2 linked regions of the Rattus norvegicus genome follow. The protein of the gene in region 2 interacts with the protein of the main gene of each other region in a biochemical or structural test. Links are inferred from orthologs where the notes say so. Each region holds a gene or a part of one and is shown on either strand. Other genes may lie near its edges.

Region 1 (4,168 bases), on a different chromosome or scaffold from region 2:
AAGGATTTAGGCAGAGTGACTCATTCTTACTTTAATAGAAATGGTGTTCATTAAAATACCAGACATACCTACAGCTTTCCTTCGTATCTGTCCCAATGATCTCAGCCCCATGGACACGCCCGTAAGTGAGCTTTTCCAAAGCAACAGCTGAGCAGCAACCACTTACCTAAAAGTCTAATCCTCTGCGAACATATCCAGGGATTCCTATATCGAGGCATGTATTTCTAATGACTGGCAATTCCCAAATAATTTCCCAGTGATTCATAGGAAATGTGGGCACAATTTTTATCTGTTAAACCAACCATACATTCTTCCTTCCCCTAATGGTTTCGTGGCCTGCTCTAATGGTGCTACCCAGGGTTACCTATGAACACTATCTAGAGTGAGTGTCACAATTCAGATTTCCCTTTGTATACCTAGGCAGATAAGCACATTTAGCATTAGCAGACCCACATACATTTCAACCACAGCAGAGATGGAACCCCACAAGGAATGACAGTTAAGGGTGTCTTTGGGATCAGAAGCCTGAGCCATCCGTCAACCTGATGTTTTGGCAAACAAATAGCCAGTTTCTTTCAAGGAAGACTAAAAGTATAACCAGAAGCAGGGATGTCCTTTCCCTCCAGGGGCTACCACCCACTACTCGCTACTTAAATTACCTTCTTCCAGTTCATCCATGCTTCCAATCTTTCTGGATCCATCAATAGTGTAAATGTAGCGCACTCCCTGAGGCAGGTTGATGTTGTCGGACAAGGATCGAGTCAGGTCAGCCAGCAATGCATCAAAACTACGAAAACGGTCAGAAGAAACAGCGTACACAATCCCCTTGAAGTAACGGTCCCCATTGCGGTAGAAACGTACCTTCTTGGCCTTCTTCTCATTACTTAATGCCTGCAAGGTTCTGGTTCTGTAGAAGCTACAGTGAGCACTATGAGTGGGACTTGGAAGTCCATTCATCCGTGACCCTCTCATATTTCTAGATGCTTTGTCTCGTTCGTCAAAATGTCCAAAATCAAGTTCCATATTTTGGTGGAACCACAGCAACCTGATTGTTAGGAAAAGGGGCGGGGATAAGGAGAGGCAAAGAATAAGGAAGGGTAAGGGGAGAAAAGAATTAAAATATTAGCCAGATCCAGAGCTGCAATCTGCTGCCTGTGAAAAGAACTGGTTGAAAAAAGCCTGAGACCCATCTGCTGCTTGTCCCTGACCTGCAGGAATATTGATCTTAATAGAGTAGAAGGAGGGGGCTGGGCAGTGGACTGAGGACTGAATGGTGGGAAGGGGGATAGGAGAAAGAGATAGAAAGGGTGGCACTTCTGGCACTGTTCCAAATTTGGGAGGGGGTGTTGAAACAGCTTAAAAACCTGGAGCTTCCTGACAGTGGCTCCTATCAAATTGTAACTTCGGGCAAAATACATTAAAACTGGCATCTGCTACTTCACACATGGCCACATGACTAACAGTTGTAAATGAATCCATAGCCTGACAAAATCCCCTCAAAGAGAAATAGAGGGAACTAGCCAAGGTTAGCATCTCCAGCATAGGAAGCAGTCTTTACAACCCAGGACAATGACTAGTATGGGGGTGTATTAGTTTTATTTCCAGTCCCTTTTTTCCTGCTCTAATATGTGTATCCCCTCCCCCAGAATAAACTAGGATTCTCTTTTAAAGGGACAGCCTCCAGGGAATACCCAGTGTCTTTGTGCTATTCATCAAACCCTCTCTCCATCAAGCTGGTGCTGCTATACCGCATCCATAAGAAGTAGGCTGGGGTCTAAAAGGGGGGAGGGATTGTCAAAAAACCAGTTATTTAGCAAGCTGTTAGCTCTGCTTTCCTCTTGATTCCATTTGATCACAGAATCCTTTTTCTCCTTTCAGGTGCTTCATCCCCTCCCCGACCAATGCAGCGATATCTCTTAATGAAATAATTGGCGAAAGATTCCCAAATGAGTCCCTGAATAGCATATGGGACCTTTACAAGCGAGGACACCTTTCATTGTTCTGGGTTTCCTCCCCTGACTGACAGAACATTTTGTCCTCAAAGCAGGCAATTCACTTCAAACTTGTCTATTGCTTAGGTGAATTAATGGGGGCAAAAGAAAAAGGTCATCTGTAAAGCTTGGATTTCCACCCCCTCTACCCCCCCCCCGAGCCCATCCCCACCAGGAAATAAAAAAGAACGCAACAATGAAAACATGCAACCAAATAATATAACCAAAGCCTCGACCGCTTACAAAGGTAATAACTTGACATCCAAGAAACCAAACTATTAGCATTCATCTCACAGATGGAGGAAAAAGACTCACAAAGCAAGAGGACTCAGCTGCAATACACTGCCACATCAAGATTTGCAAGGAACCGGGGAGACAGGAGATAAAAGGGGGCTGGTAGCTGGTCTATTTGCCAGGTTCGGTCCCCCCTTTTTCTCCAGTGTCACCATGACCTATGCTGAGCTCAGCATTGTCTCTGTCAGACAACCTGCAGTAGTAAGACCCCACCTCCTCAAGATGAGTAGCAAGCATTTTCCCCAGGCAGGCTGTGCAAATAAAGATACGCTTTAGAATCCGAAGTGCTATTATTCTAAATTAGCATCATAGTGAAAACAAAGAAACAACAAACTCACTTTTCCAAAGGAAAATCCCAGGTAGAATCTTAGAGGACAAAAAAATCCTACAGAATAAGGCAAATAAAAGAGAAGAAAGAGGCGGACACACAGAGAAAGAAAGGCGTGTGCCTTGTGCTTCTCCCGTTTGACATCTGTTACATTCTGCTTGAAAATCACTCGAAAGCCCCACTCACCGGTTTTCTGCTGGTTGGGTGGAGATGCTGTGAGAAAGAAAACCAATCTCTCTATGCCTTTGTTGTCTGAGCTCCAAGCAAGAAATTCCTGCCAGGGTGGATAGTTGCCTTCTAGGTCCTAGTGCCTTGTCCAGCTTCTCCCCTGTAACTGAAGCTTAGCGAACACCCCCAACCTCCTATGATTAATTACATGCTTTTTTTTCTTCAATTCACAGCCTGCATTAACAGCTAGAAAGGTTTCGTTTATAACCCACAGGAAATTGCAGGGTAGGAAAAAAAAAGGATTGCACAGGCAAGCTCAGAATGCTCTAATGAGCAATGTGCTAGCCCTTTCTCTTAGAAAATTGGCAATTTTACTTGGCTAAAAATCCTTGGCCTAATCTGCCTAGTGGCTGGACTCAGCAGGCCAAATCAAGTTTCTTAGAAATTACAGCACTCTTCATTTTACCTTCTTTGAAGAAAATAAAAATTTGTAAATTTTCTGACATTTGAGCTTGCGCATCCGACACTGTTTTTTGTTATTGTTGTTGTTGTTTTTGGTTTTGTTTTGTTTAATGAAGTCAGCGGGTATGGCAAATTAATAATACAAGGGGAAATAGTTGCAGAAATCATGAAGGCTAGAATTGAAAAGTGGCACTCCTCCAAGTTTTTGTTCAGTTGTTTTATCGAGCCAGGGTCCAGCTTTATAGTCATAGCTGTTCTGGAACTCACTGTGTAGCCCAGGCTGACCTCTAACTTGTGGAAAAATTTCAGCCTCTGTTCTGCTTCCTTGCTACTAGAATTTGCCAGCACTTAGGTCCCCAAGCCCAACATGTCTACAAAACATTTTAGACTGATGTAAAACATCGGTTAATGTTTCACCTTCCTACTCCTGGGCATATACCCAAGGGAGACTATACCCTACCATAGAGACACTTGCATATCCATGTTTATTACTGCTCTATTCATAAAAGCCAGAAAATAGAAACAGCCCAGATGTCTGCTAACAGATGAATAGGTAATGAAAATGCAAGATATATGCACAATTTTAATCATCCATTGGTAAAAAGTAAAATTATGAAGAAATTGTGGGGAACTGAAAATGTTATACTGAGTGAGGTATTCTAGGCTAAGAGAGACAAAAGGATTTATTTTCTCTCATATGTAACTCTCTCTTTCTGTGTGTGTGTGTGCACGTGTGTGTGTGTGTGTGTGTGTGTGTGTGTGTGTGTGTGTGGAGAGAGAGAGAGAGAGAGAGAGAGAGAGAGAGAGAGAGAGAGATCAAAAAACATGAAAGCAGCCCATAAGAAGAGAAGTGGGTTTTAAAGAATGGGGATTGAAGTTTAGTCAGTAGAGTGGAATCTTCTAGTTCTATAAAACTAGTCATAAG
Region 2 (3,647 bases):
GAGATGAGACTGACTCACGTAAGACAAATTTGGTGCTCTTTTTCCAGTTATAATTAGTTATGTCCTTCCAAGGCATTGGTTCTCAACCTCTCTAACGCTTCGACCATATACATCCTTGTATTCTGGTGACCCACAACCATAAAATTACTTTTGTTGTTACTTCCTAAGTGTAATTTTGCTACTGTTAATGAATTATAAATACCTGATACTATAGGTTAGCTGATATTCAACCTCAAAGGGGTGCAGTGCCACCCACAGGCTAAACAGCACTGTTCTAAGGACACAAATGATTCCTTCAGCACCAATTTCTCAGTCAAGACAATGCAAGGTTAAACCTCTAGACTGTTTAATGTGTATCAAAAATAACCTTAAAACCAAAGTTTTCATGAAGCAAAGAAATGTATTTTTTTTTAAGATCAACCATGAGTATCTGCAGATTAGTAATTATGGCAATATTTTCAGAAAATTTATAAGTAGACATTGAATACAACTGACTTAAGAAAGATCTAGTTACCTTTTTTTGTAATCTAATAACAGATGTCCATTTTTTTTCCAAAAGACCAGCATACTTCTTATCTAATTCTTCATTCTGGAAGAGAAAAAGATCTTTTAAAAAATGGCTTAACAATGATACCTTTAAGACAAAACATTATTAAATATTTGACTATACAGAAAGTGGGAAAATTAAGCTCAACACTAAGTAAATCACAACAAATGGCAAAATTTAAATAGCTGAATTGACCTACTGAACCTTAAGTAAAACTTAACTCATTAACTACACTATGAATAATTAGAAAAATGATAATTATACAGTCAAGCATACCATATCTAGTTCAGCTTCCTTTTTAAAAACGGAATATGCCTCTTCATAGCCATTTGAACGAAGATAATCTGCTATAGCTCGATTTCTGAAAGAAAAAAATTAAAATGAGTCCTAAAAAGACCTTCTATTTGAAGAACTACACTTAATAATTTTTTGGGGGGTGGGGTTGGGGCAGCCCAAGGACAAGTTTCTCTGTGAAACCCTGGCTACCCTGGAACTCACTATGTGAGCCAGGCTAACCTCAAACCTGCCTTTGCCTCCTGAGTACTGGGATTAAAGGTGTGTACCACCACTGCCCAGAGTACTAAATTATATAAATATTTCTGGAAATAAAATAGACATACTTCCAAAATTCAAAAACTTAGGTACTGTTACAATTTATCTGTATTGTTTTTTAGCATCTTTTCTTTTTTTGTTATTTTCAGAGATGCAAGGGACTGAACTCAGAACACTGTACATGCTAGGTAAGTGACCCGCCTCTGAGCTCTAGTCCTGGCCTTTGCCATTTTATCACTTTCTAACTTACTGCTCAGCTTGTAAACTGCAGGCACTCCACAGATATATTTCTATACCTAGACATCAATTGTTAAAGTAGCCATCAGTTTTTCTAGTGTTGACATTCACCTTCTCTTACTATTTGATAAACATACTCAAGCATTGGAGATTAGAATTGAGTTTTGCACAGAAATGTTTTAATGAAACTCTACTAAGAATACGAAGAGATGACTAAGTGGTTATAATTTCCTTGCTGTGCAAGCATGAGGATTGAAGTTTATGTCTCATGTAAAGGGCTGAGTGTCCTATGCCAAGTCTGTAGCACAAGGATATGTAGAAAGAGCCTGTCTGGGGCTTGCTGGCTTCTTGACTAGCTAAAATATTCTAGCTCCAAGTTGAGAAAGTAACCGTCCTATTAAAGAGGAACAGGTAAAGAGTGTTGTCTCCAGGCAGACACACATGCATACACCATAAAAGTATCTCTCAGGCACAATACCATCTCCCCCTAAAAAAAAAAAAAAAAAAAATTATAGTAAATATTTTAGTATTAGAAATAACTCTGGGGGGGTTGGAGAGATGGCTCAGTGGTTAAGAGCACGGACTGCTCTTCCCGAGGTCCTGAGTTCAATTCCCAGCAACCACATGGTGGCTCACAACCCTCTGTAATGAGAGCTGATGCCCTCTTCTGGTGTGTCTGAAGACAGCTACAGTGCACTTATATATAAGAAAGAAAGGAAGAAAGGAAGGATGGAGGGAGGGGAGAGGGGAGACAACTCTAAATGCCATGCAGTGGTGGTACATGCCTTTAATTCCAGCACTAGAGACCAAGACAGGAGGACCTGGAGTGTAAGGCCAGCCCATGCTACATAGTGAATTCAAAGCCAGTTTGGACTAGGCATCACTGAAAGACCTTATTTAAAAATGAAGCCAGGCAATGGAGGTACATGCTTATAGTCCCAGGACTCAGGAGGCAAAAACAGGCACATCTCTGAGTTTGAGGCCAGCCTGGTCTACAGAGTGAGTTCCAAAACAGCTAGGGCTAGAGTTAAACTCTGTCTTGAACCCCTGCCTCCCCGAAACAAACAAACAAACGAAAGAAATTAAACTATTTTAATACACTAAAAATGCACAAGCTACAAACAGTATATTGTCTTAGAATGACATTTAGAATTCTAATTAAAGGCAGCAAAGTTGAACTATATTTTCATGCTTCTTTTTCATTCTGTCCTGACAATATTGGCAAGCATCTGTGCTCTCCTATTTCAACATTTCCCAATTACTGTGAGCCTTTCGTCACAAAATTATAGAAAAGGTTGATTTAGGAGTCCTCTGTTTAAGCCTTTAAACTAACTTAAGTAGTTAAGAAGTTAAAAGTCATGGGGTTGGGGATTTAGCTCAGTGGTAGAGTAGAGCACTTGCCTAGCAAGCGCAAGGCCCTGGGTTCGGTCCCCAGCTCCGAAAAAAAGAAAAAAAAAAAAGAAGTTAAAGTCACGAATTAAACAAAACGTAAATATACATACAATAACAGTACATCCTTTAGCCAATTTTATTTTTTTGTGTGTACTGGCCAGCCTTGAATTTACAGAGATACCCCTGCCCCTGCCTCTGAGCATTGGGATGAAAGACATGAGCAACCATGCCTGGTCCTCTCTGCTTTTGTAAGACAGGATTTTGTGAATCCCAGGTTAGCCAGAAACTAAGGATGACCTTGAACTTTTGATCCTAAAGGCATGAGTCACCATACCTGGCAGATGTAAGGCACTAGAAATCAAATCCAAGGATTGTGCATGATATATCCCTAACCCTACTTAATAGGTCCATATTGCCAATTATATCTAATATTTTAACATAGGCAATCACTATTGTGATTTACATGTTTTCAGAGATAATCTACCTAAAACCTATAGTATTTTAGATTCTGAATTTTTTTCCTGAGGCAAGGTCAAACTACAAAGTCCTTGTTGGCCTGGAATAACTCGATATAAATTCTTCTTGTTCCATTTAATTTTGATTCTATTTCCATAAAAGACAACATGAAGTCAAATGAAGAATCATTATATAAAACGACTCCTTTTTTTCCTTTTAAAGTAGGAGCTCACTATGAAGCTTGGAGTAGCCCAATACTTAAGATCCTGTCTCAGGGGCTGGAGAGATGGCTCAGCGGTTAAGAGCACCCGACTGCTCTTCCAGAGGTCATGAGTTCAATTCCCAGCAACCACATGGTGGCTCACAACCATCCGTAAAGAGATCTGATGCCCCCTTCTGGTGTATCTGGAGACAGCTACTGTGTACTTATATATAATAAATAAAATAAATCTTTAAAAAAAAA

What was found. The genes of interacting proteins can lie anywhere in the genome.
Region 1: the proteins of Pafah1b1 (region 2) and Dcx form a complex in vitro, tested with the Homo sapiens proteins (2 studies listed by BioGRID). The link is inferred for Rattus norvegicus from reciprocal best matches to the Homo sapiens genes PAFAH1B1 and DCX.

The regions. Positions count from the first base shown.
Region 1 is NC_086039.1:112,301,319-112,305,486, forward strand, and holds the start of Dcx (neuronal migration protein doublecortin), read right to left. Parts: upstream 2,844-4,168; 5' UTR 2,800-2,843; intron 2,789-2,799; exon of another isoform or gene 2,624-2,788; intron 2,504-2,623; exon of another isoform or gene 2,307-2,503; intron 1,046-2,306; 5' UTR 1,024-1,045; coding exon 660-1,023; intron 1-659. UniProt on the Homo sapiens protein: Microtubule-associated protein required for initial steps of neuronal dispersion and cortex lamination during cerebral cortex development. May act by competing with the putative neuronal protein kinase DCLK1 in binding to a target protein.
Region 2 is NC_086028.1:60,048,658-60,052,304, forward strand, and holds part of Pafah1b1 (platelet-activating factor acetylhydrolase IB subunit alpha), read right to left. Parts: intron 909-3,647; coding exon 824-908; intron 590-823; coding exon 515-589; intron 1-514. UniProt on the Homo sapiens protein: Regulatory subunit (beta subunit) of the cytosolic type I platelet-activating factor (PAF) acetylhydrolase (PAF-AH (I)), an enzyme that catalyzes the hydrolyze of the acetyl group at the sn-2 position of PAF and its analogs and participates in PAF inactivation.